2 linked regions of the Rhinolophus ferrumequinum genome follow. The protein of the gene in region 1 interacts with the protein of each later gene in a biochemical or structural test. Links are inferred from orthologs where the notes say so. Each region holds a gene or a part of one and is shown on either strand. Other genes may lie near its edges.

The links. The genes of interacting proteins can lie anywhere in the genome.
Region 2: of the proteins of H1-5 (region 1) and CCNA1, one has a biochemical effect on the other in vitro, tested with the Homo sapiens proteins (2 studies listed by BioGRID). The link is inferred for Rhinolophus ferrumequinum from reciprocal best matches to the Homo sapiens genes H1-5 and CCNA1.

The regions. Positions count from the first base shown.
Region 1 is NC_046305.1:1,999,140-2,005,457, forward strand, and holds H1-5 (histone H1.5), read left to right. Parts: upstream 1-4,402; 5' UTR 4,403-4,706; coding exon 4,707-5,384; 3' UTR 5,385-5,764; downstream 5,765-6,318. Other genes in the region: uncharacterized protein LOC117014580, read left to right, coding at 1-125, 1,052-1,553. UniProt on the Homo sapiens protein: Histone H1 protein binds to linker DNA between nucleosomes forming the macromolecular structure known as the chromatin fiber. Histones H1 are necessary for the condensation of nucleosome chains into higher-order structured fibers.
Region 2 is NC_046287.1:93,158,470-93,165,813, reverse strand, and holds the start of CCNA1 (cyclin-A1), read left to right. Parts: upstream 1-4,240; 5' UTR 4,241-4,377; intron 4,378-4,481; exon of another isoform or gene 4,482-4,897; intron 4,898-4,937; exon of another isoform or gene 4,938-5,181; intron 5,182-5,552; exon of another isoform or gene 5,553-5,555; 5' UTR 5,556-5,576; coding exon 5,577-5,741; intron 5,742-7,344. UniProt on the Homo sapiens protein: May be involved in the control of the cell cycle at the G1/S (start) and G2/M (mitosis) transitions. May primarily function in the control of the germline meiotic cell cycle and additionally in the control of mitotic cell cycle in some somatic cells.

The DNA of each region.
Region 1 (6,318 bases):
CGGCTGAGAGCCGTCACCCCAAAACCGGTGTCTTTGGGGTTAAATGGCACGAACTGGGTTCTCATTTCTCATGCTGGGTCCCTCCCTAAGCCTGAGGCCAAGCATTTTGTAAGTTACCGCTCTCTGTAAGTTACAGACCCGGGAGCCAGAGTACTAACTCGGGCCGGTAACTAACTGTCCCGAGCCCGAGGGCCTAACTGCATGTGCAAAGAAGGATCTCTGGCTTGTGCGCCCGGCTCCCAGACGGCTCTCGGCCACCTCCCCCCGCCCTCCGCCTGCCAGCTCCCCCCCGCACCCCCGACGTTGTCTACGTGTTCCGGCGGCAGGGCGCTCCTACAGCTTCGGGGGTTAGTTCTTCAAACCGCCATTTCATTACGCAAAGTCCCGTCTTAGGGCCACCCAAGAAATCTAAGACCTGTAGGCATTTTAAAAATCCTTAATTTGGCAGGGCAGCTACCTCGGGTTACGTTAGAGTGATCTTTGTGAATTCACTTAGAAACATCAATTTTGTAATGCCACCAAAAGTGCATTTGGTTCCCCCCCACACACACCCCATGTCCATCACCTAATAGAGTGGCAAAATCTCAGGTGATTCAAATCTACATCGGCTGTTTTGCCTCACTGAAAGCTGTACTCATTCGCGCTGCACTGTCAGGGGCAGTTAGTTACGACTCTGCCTAAACTCCATCACGACCTTTTACAGAAGAAATTGGCCAAACCTTGTTTGAACGAGGTCTTTCGGTGAATGTGAAGCATGCTGCAGTCTGAGAGGACCGGCGCAGCGCAGAGGCTGGAATTAGAAACCACTCCAAGGCCTTCGTTCAGTGCCTCAGTTCCCTTTCAAGTTCACGAAACTTTTTGTCAACAATTCAATCACGACACGTTTTATTTGTAAAAGTGCAAGGAACTTTCAGGACATTTTCTTAAGGATTTTTGATGCATCCTGTGGGGTTTTCAGTCAGTAAGACCGCAATAGAGGTGGGGAAAAGCTTCCTGAAATTATTGAACAAAGAACTAATCCGTGTGGGGTGGAGGGGTGGGAGGGGCATAGGGTATCGTCGAATAGCGGCGGGCGAGTCCCTATAAATACTGGGATGGCTGATTGTTTCTCATTAGTGTTGGAGAATTGGCTTTGCTTACCCATGGCTCGCACGAAGCAGACGGCGCGCAAGTCCACGGGCGGGAAGGCCCCGCGGAAGCAGCTGGCCACCAAGGCGGCCCGCAAGAGCGCGCCGGCCACCGGCGGCGTCAAGAAGCCGCACCGCTACCGGCCGGGCACGGTGGCGCTGCGCGAGATCCGGCGCTACCAGAAGTCCACGGAGCTGCTGATCCGCAAACTGCCCTTCCAGCGGCTGGTCCGCGAGATCGCGCAGGACTTCAAGACGGACCTGCGCTTCCAGAGCTCGGCCGTGATGGCGCTGCAGGAGGCGTGCGAGGCGTACCTGGTGGGGCTGTTCGAGGACACCAACCTGTGCGCCATCCACGCCAAGCGCGTCACCATCATGCCCAAGGACATCCAGCTCGCGCGCCGCATCCGCGGGGAGCGGGCGTAAGTCTCCTTCCTCAGTTAGCATCCCCTGCCCCCAAAGGCTCTTTTCAGAGCCCCTCAATTGTCAGCGAAAAAGAGCTGTTAATTCTGAAAAGTACACGGCATCCTTATATGAAGTGTGGTGTGTCCTTGGTGACTAAGTCACACCACTGCTGCCCACTTGTGCTCCACATCGGCCGTCTGCTTCTCCTGTGACCCTAACAACCGTCCCGCTTGCCGAGTCCCTCATACTCTGCAGTGAGGAGCTGTTTATGGAGAGGCATTACAATGACTCGGTCATTTGAAAATCCAAACAACTTCGACTGCAAGAAGTGATTGAAGGAAAACTGGCCCAAACCTTACAGAAGACTTAACTGGGTTATGCAAATGGGAATCAGTTAAATAGGTAGAATATTCCAGCGCCATTACTTCAGAAATAGGCCTCTTGATTTCTTGTAACACAAGTGTTGCCATGAGTGTTTAAAATCTTGACGGCTTTTTTGTTTTCCAATTTTAGTATACGTGCTGCAGAAGCGAGTGCACCTTTTCTGTTCCGATGTAATGTTTGCAAGTGTATGCTGTGGGCTTTCCATGTGTGACTGGGGAATGGGTGACGATGACCTGTAAGCTGTCATGTAAAATGAGTTCCCAATAGTTCTGAGACAATCTAGAAATACTTGTGCAAGTGTTTTTAAAATATATTTGTCTGTGATTGTTTTGTTTTGTTTTTTTCTATGGAGAATCAGACTAGGGATGAAATCCAGCATGCCGTTTTAAATCTTCCTTGTTTCCACACAATTCTGAGTTTTCTAACCAAACATGGCTGCGTCCCATATTTCCACTTGTTTAGTTTACTCTCGTGCTCTTCGTATTACATGACTGTCAGTGCCTCATTTTGCTGCTTACCTTTTTTGGGTATACACCCTAACTTTAGGAGGTAGCAGTTCTATGAGGGCAGTTTTTCTCCTGATCTCTGGCAGATCAGCCACCTGGGCCTTCCCTTCCTTCCCGTGTCTGGATTTGCCCTTCCAGAGAGAGGCTTATATCTAAACCATTGGCTCCTTGGAAAGCTTTTTGAAAAGTCTCAGAATTGATTCAGAAAAGTCTGATGAGGCCAAAAGCCTCTGATTACAAATCAGTCTGGAGCTCCTGTAGTGGCTCTCAGGTGTAGGGACAACTTGGTGCTGCTTATTCCAAGTTTCAAAGGTTGTTCTCTCCCCATCCCTTTGAGGACCTTCCCATCATACAGACCCAGGACCAGGAGGTCTACCTTCAAACATCTGCCGACAGTGAGCTCTATAACCTTTGGCAAGTCACGCATCTTGTCTCTAGGCCTTAGCTGACAGAGCTGTAAAGTGTGATGAATGAATGGAAATCTGTACAGCTTCCTGAGATTAGTTCCTGGCACTTTGTAAATGCTCAGTGTATATTACCTCTTATTGTTACACTTCCCTCTCCTGCACCTTTAAGCATGGAGGGATTCCCCCCGAATCTTCTAAATGTTTTGTGATTAAAACAATGAGAATTGATTGGTTAGAACACTTTCTTGTTAAAACCTTTTCTTTAGTTCTTGATTTGCATTGTTCTGAAAGAGGCAAGCTTGTGGCGATATGCCACGATCTGTGTCTATGTGGATGCATTCAAAACACAGCATAGGTGCCAGGTAGTAAATATTGTAGGTTTTGCCGGCCACGTATGATCTCTGTCACGGTCTTTTTCTAACACAATTTAAAAATCTAAAAACCACCTTTGAGTAAGGACCATACAAAAATAGGCCTCTGTCCAGTTTGGTCATAGTTGACTATAGTTTCAATTCCAGGAACTCCTAGAGAGAAGTGTGTTGGCTGCTTCACCAGTGTTTCACAGGGAAGAACTAAGTACCGTCAACTGCATTAGAGATCAAAATCATGATTTGATCTCCCTTAGCATCTAGGCCAGACACAAAATCCGATCAACCCCTTGCCCTACTTTCGTTCCAAATAAATAGCAAACTTCATCTTCCATTCCAACCTCAAGATCATTGCCTCAGTTCCCTTGAATGTTAATGTTTTCCTGTATTTTCCTGAATTCAGGAAATTCCCAGTGCACCGTTTTTATAGTAGCCAATTATTTTTCTAAAATATAGGTCTATTATCACTTAATAATTGATGTCTCCTGTCTGCTCAGCGAAGAGGGTGTTCCTGACTGTAATTTGTTAAATACTGACAGGGATTGAGGAGTTTGAAGGAAGACATTGGGAAAAGCAGGAAAACCTGACAAAGTCCCATGGGAGCTAAATAGATTGTGCTTTTGTGAGCTACTGGAAGCCCTTGAAAAATTTTTAACAGGTTTCAGAGGTTTTCTGACACATTATCTGGGCTAAGCATTTTTCATCCTTGTTTTAATAGATTTGCCTAGGAACTAAAGAGAGAACACATCTCAATCAAAACCATACAAATTAAAGTTTGAATTTGAATCCAGGTCGTTGGAAACTGAAGACAAAGCAATTGTTATTTCTCCTGCTGCAAGGTAGAAGTCACTCTGGCAACTGAACATTTCCAAGATGGAAACTACAGACACTGGCACTGAAACACCTAAGAAGCAGAACCGGTTTTTAAAGTCATGTCTGTGTGGCTGGTGTGGGGCTGTAGGCAAGCAGGCGCTCTGTGCGTGTGTTACTTGCTACAGTTAGAAACAAAGTTTATGCCCAAAAGAAGGAGCCTAGGGTCTTTCCTCCTGCAAAAATCAAAGACCAAACTTAGAGAGAAAGCCTTTTAACACACGTTGACTTGATACTTAGTAGACATTTGGTGCAAGATGCAACTAAGTAGCAGGATGCCCAAAGCCCGTGGATTCCTATGGAAAGCTGAAGGGATTTTTAAAAAATATCTTTCATCAGTTGCGCGTGATTCATGAAAACACAGACAAGTATGTGAACCTGGAAGCTGTTTTCCACCTTTGGAGCTTCAAAGCGTCAGATTCTGTACCGTTGATTTCGGAATTTAATCAGATGTTTGGGAGTAAGAAACACAATTTGGGAGTCCAACCGCGAAAGGCGGCCGCCTGAGGGCGGCGGATCCGACGCCCCACCAATCACAGCGCAGCCCCGGCTTATATAAGCCGTAGCCCGAGCCTGGCAGTACTGCGAACTCGCTCTTTGGATTTTGGGTCTCTTTCTCTGGTAGCTCCTCCCATCGCCATGTCGGAAACCGCTCCTGCTGAGACGGCCGCCCCGGCGCCTGTAGAGAAGGCGCCAACAAAGAAGAAGGCGACCAAGAAGGCAGCGGGCGGGGCCGCCAAGCGTAAGGCTTCGGGCCCCCCGGTGTCCGAGCTCATCACCAAGGCGGTGGCCGCCTCCAAGGAGCGCAGCGGCGTGTCGCTGGCCGCGCTCAAGAAGGCGCTGGCTGCCGCCGGCTACGACGTGGACAAGAACAACAGCCGCATCAAGCTGGGTCTCAAGACCCTGGTGAGCAAGGGCACCCTGGTGCAGACTAAGGGCACCGGCGCTTCGGGCTCCTTCAAGCTCAACAAGAAGGCGGCCTCCGGCGAGACGAAGCCGAAACCCAAGAGGGCTGGCGCCGCCAAACCCAGGAAGCCCGCAGGGTCCACTCCCAAAAAGCCCAAGAAGGCCGCGGGGACAAAGAAAGCCGTGAAGAAGACCCCCAAGAAAGTAAAGAAGCCTGCTACCGCCGGTGTCAAAAAGGTGGCCAAGAGCCCCAAGAAGGCCAAGGCTGCTGCGAAGCCTAAGAAGGCCGCCAAGAGCCCAGCCAAGCCCAAGGCGGTTAAGCCTAAAGCGGCCAAACCCAAAGCCGCCAAGCCCAAATCGGCAAAGCCCAAGGCCACCAAGGCCAAGAAGGCAGCTCCGAAAAAGAAGTAGGAAGCTGGTCTTTAAAAAGGCGACAAAACCCAAAGGCTCTTTTCAGAGCCACCCAGAGATCTCTGGAAACAGCTGTGCACTACAGACACCTACAGCAGACCTGGGGGTGTTGACTTGACCATTCACCAAGCAACCCACTACGATTGTAGTTGTTTCGCTTTTAGGTATCCTTGGTACTTAGACTGAAAGTGACAAGTAACCCAGTGTGACCACAGGGCTAAAGCCATAGATGGGTTATTGCCAGCCCCTTCTGTAAAAACTATCCGAAGATCTCATCTGTACTAATATTTTTTTAACTTTGAACACGTGCTTATTTACAAAGGAACATTTAAAAACCCCGCGCTACATTCTGATTTGTCAGTTTTCAGTTGATGGGTAGGAAGTTTAATGTGATATATTTTTGCGCCACCAAATTTAACTTAATGTTTTTTCACGTTTGCCACAAGGTCGTCAATGCACTTGATTGACCTCACTGAACTGATTGAGGAGTGGCTCCCGGATACTGAATCTGTCTGAAATAGCTACTTCCTGAAACCGCTTGCCAAGCTAAATTTCCAGTGCACACTGCTGATAGATAAATTAGGAAACTGGAGTCCCAGCTCTTCACTACAAACATACGGGCCTCTGAAGTCTCCATCTCCTCCCTATCTCGTTCTCTGTGGAGCACTCTCTACGGGGCGGCTAAGCGCTTCACTTTTAACGCTGGGCGTCGGCTGCACTAACCGTCTTAAATTACTTGTGACAAAGTATCTCAGTATCCATTTTAATTGGCCATATTAAGTGTTTAACTTGTAGTTTCAAAATGGATAGTTTCACCTCTATCGGATGTTTAACTACTGACACCTACCGACCAACTCTGCAGTAAGTCACTTTCAAACAACGGCCACGAGCGCTTTCAGTGAAAAAAGGTGGGTGGCTCTGAAAAGAGCCTTTG
Region 2 (7,344 bases), on another chromosome or scaffold:
AAAAAAATTAACAAGCCGACCACATTAATAAATGGTTGCTGGAGTGAACAGGACATGAGCCTGTCCTCAAATATGGGAGTCATCCAGTCAATCAGACTCAGGTAGGTGATGTGGAAATTCCATATTTTCAATTAGAGATTGAAATAGAGATAAATGTAAAACACAGGAAATCCATTTTATGGAATCAACTGTGTCGTAGAACTGACGATACAATAATTGATTTGCACAGAGAAACTGGCATATACAGGACTATTAATTTAAAAGATATAACTAATAAATGACAGCTAACTTTAATGATGCAATGAATATATCAACATATGAGTCCTCAGATGAATTTTAGACCTCTGAAAGATTGTATAAAATCCAGGTTCTTGACTCCCTCTAATAAATTTTCAGTAAAGGTCTGGCAACTTAAAGCTTTTCAAAATGTTTAAACCATAATGGCTCCTTTATTCCACTGAAACTTATTTTTCCCTTGGGGCAGAATCTTGAGGCAGCTACTGCCAGAGATCTCAACCCTGCAGTCACAGGGATCTGATTTTAGTAGTGCACCTCTACTTGAGCACATTATTACGGACTGACTCATAGTAACTGAAGTCACCAGAACTGTCTTCCTCTCATCCACGCTCTTGGGAGGTTGACTTCTATATGAAATCGTTGCTGTGGAGTCTGTCCCAGAGCCAGGAGACAATCTTGAGGGGTATTTTTGGAAATCACAGTTTATTACTCTCCTTGGAAGGTACTAGATAAACACAGCTGAAAATTCTTGTGCTTTGGGCTCCCCCATTTCTAGGATACACTGTATATGGACTATCCCATCTGCCCTGTCAATTTTTTTTACTCTAATCATGTTTATTGTCAGATCTGGATACTGCTTCCAAATCTCCACAGCAACATATGTTATTCCGTATCTCTAGGCTCCAACTGCTCCGTTTATACATCTGTGTCTCCCACCCCTATGAAATAAACACTAATTATGCTGCACTCTAACTACCCGTTTTCCTGAAAATAAGACCTAGCCGGACAATCAGCTCGAATGCGTCTTTTGGAGCAAACATCAATGTAAGACCCGGTCTTATATTAATTTTGCTCTAAATGACGCATTCGAGCTGATTGTCCGGCTAGGTCTTATTTTCGGGGAAACACGGTATGTGTTTACCTTCTTCTTGCAGGGAACACAAAGCTCCTTGAAGGCAGGGATCATTTTTAATTTTAATCCCATCCCCAGCTACTGCCTGGTATAAGATGGATGTTCAAATAATATTAGTAAAATGAGTGAATGACTAGGAAACTTTGGCTACTTTCATGTATGTATTAAAACTATATTTGCTCAAAGAAAAGTCACTACAAATTTTAATGGAAACTTATTTCATCTGTTACGTACTAAGGGCTCCACTTTGCACCACCTGAGGGTATATGCTTCCTAACCCAGCAAACTTTCAGTTGCTTCTCAAACTGGACTTACTTGATCTGTTGGTCATCATTGTCCCTGGAGCTAAAATGTCACAAATCGCCCATCACCCTCAAAATCTGTTCCTCATCTTACCACATAGCTATGTTCTGAAATTAAACGTATAACTTAAAATGGCAGAACATGCCCCTGAACAGACAAAATATATCTCTAAGTAGACCGCTCTCTGTCCTTAAAAAAAAAATTGGCTCTTCTACTTTTTCATCTTTTTCAGCCCTATGATGAAAATCAACTTGATTTCACACAAATTAATGAAAACTGACATGTCTGAACAGGACGTTAATTACTAGCTACAATGAGCAAATGTAACAGAAGTAATAACATTTTCTGAAATGCCAGGTAATTGCTGGCAAACAGAAAAGATTGTCTTTGAATTGTAATTTGGAAGGAGGAGGAGTCAATTTTAATAGGATTATTGGATTTAAACAATCCGTAGTAAAGAATTCAGCTGTCATCCTTATTATGGAAATCAATCCTAAAGTCAACACTAGTGGAGCACATTCAAGCAGTAAATACTGACCAAGATTAGGCTAAGAAAGTTTTATTATGTAAGTTACACCAAATATTTTAGACATTAAAGATGTATTCATAATTATGTTGTTCACTTCTCAATATAATTTATACCAAATGCATAGTTTACATAAAACATGCAGACATTTAAAATCTACTTAACTGAGTTCTAATCCTGATTTTGTTATAATAGCAAAATTATAATTACGCGTTTCACTAAAATGCATAATTTATGAGAAAGTCCGTTCTATTCTGTCTCCTATTTTTCTTAATTATAAGACCAAGTTTTTTGTTTAATTTTTTAATAAAAATTTTGCATCTATTTGTCAGCTGAGTTTATTTTTATGCCATAAATCATTACTCAAACAAATGTTTAGTGATTTTTTTAAAGTCAAGAAAGCCATAAGTATTGCACAAGTTATACAAACATCTGAACTCATAAATACACACACATATAAAAATATATATAAATATTCATCTGAATTACTAATTTAAAATCTAACCAGAGGAATGTAATGATTCAATACTGAATTTTAAGGCAGCAGAGTAAAATCATAGGTCACATGTCATTTCCCTTTGCCAAATCTAACAAAGTGGATGGGGAGAGGTTAAAAATGATAACATATAATGGTAACAATAATATTTTATATGTATTAAGACTGAAGTAGGCTGCAGCTGTTTACAGGAGTTAGAGAAAGCAGTATGAAATAAGCCCAGGGCCCCACCTGGTTATTTTCTTTTATAAAGGCATTTTTCAAACTAAAGGCAGCAGAGAGACACTAGACACTTTAGTACTTGTCTGCTGGTCTTGACCAGATTTGAGTAAAGAACACCCAACTTCAAAGAGTTGCCCTGCAGGAGCCCAGCGCTACCCTTCCCCCACTGGAGCTTCAACCTCAGAAAAGAGGATCAAACCGACAGGCTCCAGGAACATACATTACACTGGCTCCTTTGTTTTGTTAGAAAAGTAGAGTGTGAGGTTTTCGGACATTTTTGTCCAGGAAACCAGGTCAAAAAGGACGCACAGAGAGGATCACGTGAGTGCAGGGAAATCTTGTCTCCGCCAAAGTAACCGGGACTCTTGGCAGGCCTTGCTCCCCCAGAGTCCTTGACGTAATGCACCACTGAAGCCTTCAGTGTCTCCAGAAATCACAACAATGTCGCCTGGTGATGGAAGGCTCCCGGAGAGACTTCCAAAAGCAGCGCGAAGCTGGAGGCCAGAAAGGCTCTTTTCCTCCACCAAATAGAGGCACCTTGCGAAGCGGAGCACTTGGTCCCTGTCTGCCTGCCTCTGACTCATCTGTTGCAGCAATCTAGATGTTACCCGAGTTCCCGGGTTGCCTTCATATTCAAAGGCATAGAAATCCAGGGGTGCAAGGGGATTGCTGCCTCCCAATGAATGAAAGTCGGTGATAAACGCAATTATTATAGTTTCATATTGAACAAGACCCGTTTCTGCACTCCTGCATCCAGCACTGATTTCCAACATGCTTCTCAACTTCCTACTAATATCTGACTCTATCAAATGCTTTCATCCTCACTTTCTGTAGAATATTTAAATTTACCTTAAATATTAAAATAATGCATACTCAACTCGATGGGTGAAAACATTAATAAAAAGCACTTAAGAGATGGGGGAGGGTAAGATTAATAATCATTTCCATTCAAAATAAGGAAGATTATAACCATTTCTTTAAGTGGCCATTTGAATGGCCTTTGAGGTGGGCTTTAGAGATTTAGAGACGGGTATTTAAAATTTTTTTTAAAAACAAAAGCAGTCACATTATATAAACTATATATATGTATACACACACATATTTAAAAAAACAGATTCTTTTACATGGCTTGCCAGTCACCTCAACAGGTGCTTGGTTTCAAGGACCCTCTCTCTCCTCCCTTCCCGCGTGGCTAGGGCCCCTTCCCCCATCTCTACCCTCAATATAAGGCTCCCCGTGCTTCCTACCTTTCCTTGCCATCCCCTCCCCAACTCTGGATTTACTTCCCCATGTGGGCAGGCAGCCTGCCCAGCCCCCGATTTGGAGCCTGACTGTTGCCCCCTTCAATGTCCCAGGCCCCATCGCTGCCACCCGCGTTCCTTCCTCTTCCTGGGCCACTATCTCCGCGTTCCTGGACCCGCTCCACGCCCTGGCTGCCGGAACCCGTCGGGGAAGACCTCTTGTGAGGATGGCAAGCACCGCATGCGACCATAAAACCCCAAATCTCCTCTCCCGCCCTGCCAGGACACGTGCACAAGACTCTCGGCCGGCGAGGCGCGACCTCTGGTGCGCAAAGACCCAAAATGACCGCAGGCACGCCGCCACCATGGATTAGGAGGCCGCGGCTGAAACGTGGGGCCAACTCGCCGCTTCTTGACCTGTCTCTAGGAGGAAGTGTAGGTGCGTGAACCGAGAAGGGGAGCGAGCCGCGGCGCCCTCCGGCGGGCGCTGTCGGGGTGCCGCGGCCTGCGCAGCCCCGAGGACCCCGCGTCGCTCTCCCGAGCCAAGGTTCTCAGGAGCGGGCGGCGGAAAAGACGTTAGCGGGTGGAGTGAGCGGCTGTTGGGAGAACCGATTCACAGAACCTGTCTCTTCCAAAGCCCGGGCCATAGCGGGGACTGACTTCCTCCCCGCCACGCCGGGGGCGCGGGCCACAAGGGGCGCAGTGCTGATGGTGACGGCCCGCCGAGCCCACCCGGACAGGACAGCGGAGGAGGAGTCAGGGGCCACCACCCGTTGGCCCCGCCCTTTCCTGAACGCCTAGGGGGTCGCAGCGCATCCGCCCGGAGCTTGTCGGGTGAGGGGGTCGCCATGGCGATGCGGCCCCCGGGCGCGTAGGCCAGCAGCGGTTGGCATGGAAGCGGCCCCCCGCGAGGCCCGGGAGCTCCGCTGATTGGCTGATTCAACAGACGCAGTGAGGGGGTGGGGAGTTTGAAAGTAATTAGCGCCGAGGGCTGGGGCGGTGGTCGCTGGGAGTCCAGCTGCCCGCTGGAATCTATCGACATCTCGGTCGCACTCCTGCCCCGCCCCCTCCGGGGGCCCCTCATCCCCAATCCTCGTGTGCACTTGCTAATTGTTGGAGACTTTTACAAAGATATAAGGCTGAGAAGAGCAAGGCCTGCTGTGAGGCCTTGTGTCTGGTGGAAGGAGAGCCGCGGAGGAGCACCCTGCTTTTCGCTTGGGAAGGGGACGTACTTCTCTGTGATGTATTCTCGGTCTTTTGTTTGCAGGCAGGGTGGGGATAAGCATCGCAGCGGGTAAAAACCAGAACTATTGTAGGTTTAGACGCCCAGGTAACATGGAGCTTAGTATCCCGGCTTGGAGGTTTGTCCGGCTGTCTCCTTCCAGCCCTCAAACAGGCCTTGGAAGAAATCCTTGACAGATCCAAATCACCGTTTTGGTTCAAAGCAGCTTTGATAGCTTGTGCTCGTGCACAAGTGGCTCGTGCCCTTTCAGCCCTAATAATTGCAGGGAAGATCAGATGTCTTAGTGTTCTCCCTCCTAGAAATCCGTGCCTCCTTGGAGCCCCTGGTGGAAGAGGTTGACTAACCGGCTTGTCTTTCTCCTTCCCTGACAGCAGCAGCCTGTGAAGACTGAGGCTATGCATCTCAGCAGCTCCAAGACTGGAGTAGTCCTGGCTCCAGTGTCCCGAGGTCCTGATACCTGTCAGATGATAACCAGAGCCCAGCTGGGTCAGGATCCCCCACAAAGAACAGTGTTAGGTGTGCTAACTGAGAATGGGCAATACAGGAGGACCTGTGGCCAGGTAACAACCAAGAAGCCCTGGAGAAGCTGCTTATTGAGAAAGGTTCTCCTGTCAGCATGGTGGGAGGTGGGTTTCTCTTGCAGTTTTACCTGCAAACCCCTTGAGTATTCCTGGACTACTGGGACATTACATTTTTTAAGGATCATCTTGTTGCGTCCCTTTTCCAGCTAGAAATAGTGAATACTTCTCCACTTCTCTTCTCCCGCCTCTCCACCCCCAATCGAGCAAATAGATCTAGGAATTGTTTGGATTAAGTATATGTAAAGTCATTTACATGCTGGGCTAAAAGCACATTTCCTCACATTTCCTTCTTGGGTTCCTCCAGGTCTGAGTGCTGTTCAGACTGATACTTGCGTGAAGCAATCCTGGATAATCTTTGCCACGTTCACTGGAGAGAGTTTAGAATCAGGACTGGATCAGGCTAGACTAGATGATTTCAAAAAGTGATTTGAAAGCAGCATTCTCCCCAATACTGACAGGGCAGTTGGGCAAACAGATAATGGGCCATCAGATATTGTTTAACTGACCCCTTAACAGATGGAAAACAAATTCACATTTAAATGCAGATGAGGGGTTTGGATCTTTAAGAATGGATTTTGAGGTAGAAAAAAAGCTTCCCCAAATCTGTTATTAGACAAGGTCCTCATAACAATGCTTTAAGCCTGGGTTGCACATTTGATGCTGGCAGTGAAGTAGGCAGGCTGGGTATCCTTTCCAAATTATAGGAGAGAAAATTTAAGAGGTTGAAGAAAGGAAAAAAAAAAAAGAAGGTATGGTGGAAGAGGCCAGATTAGAAACTCCTGAACTACTGACCTGACTGCTCAAGCCTTTTGGTGACATCTGATTAGTGGCAGAAAAATACCCAAAGTGATCTGTTTAAAGAGTTGGAAAAATTGAGGGAAGATACCATGTTTCCCGAAAATAAGACCTAGCTGGACAGTCCGCTCTAGTGCATTTTTTGGAGCAAAAATTAATGTAAGGCCCCATCTTATTTTACTATAAGACCCAGTATAACATAATAATATGTAATATAATATAATAATATAAATAATATAATAATACAATAACGGGTCTTATATTAAATTTTGCTCCAAAAGACGCATTAGAGCTGATTGTTCGGCTAGGTCTTATTTTTGAGGAAACACTAGTTTGAACAAAGCTACTTTGCCCAGCAATGTTTACATCTTTAAAGTTAAAAACCTGCTTCTTACAAATTGGCAATTATGTCTATGCTGACTGGTCTCACTTTAAATTCATAACCATTAGTTAACCTCATAACGTTGCCTGGCACTTCCTCTACATTTCCCTGCTCTATTCTTCTGCAACCTGAGAAATCTATTTTCAACTCTGCTTCTCTCTTTAATCCTCCAAAACTTCGACCTTCATCTTCACTCTCAGTTAATGGCTTTGTGTCCTATTTTCTTAAAAATATTCAAGCAACCAAAAGAGTTTCCATATGCTTCTATGTGCCAAATAACTCTGTCATCCCCATCCTGCTCCAGGACTCACATCCCTGCTCTTATTATGCAAGGTGAACCCCCACGTGTGCAGTACACTTTATGCTCTCTTGCCTCTTCGAGGATATTATTCCAGCAACTTTTTT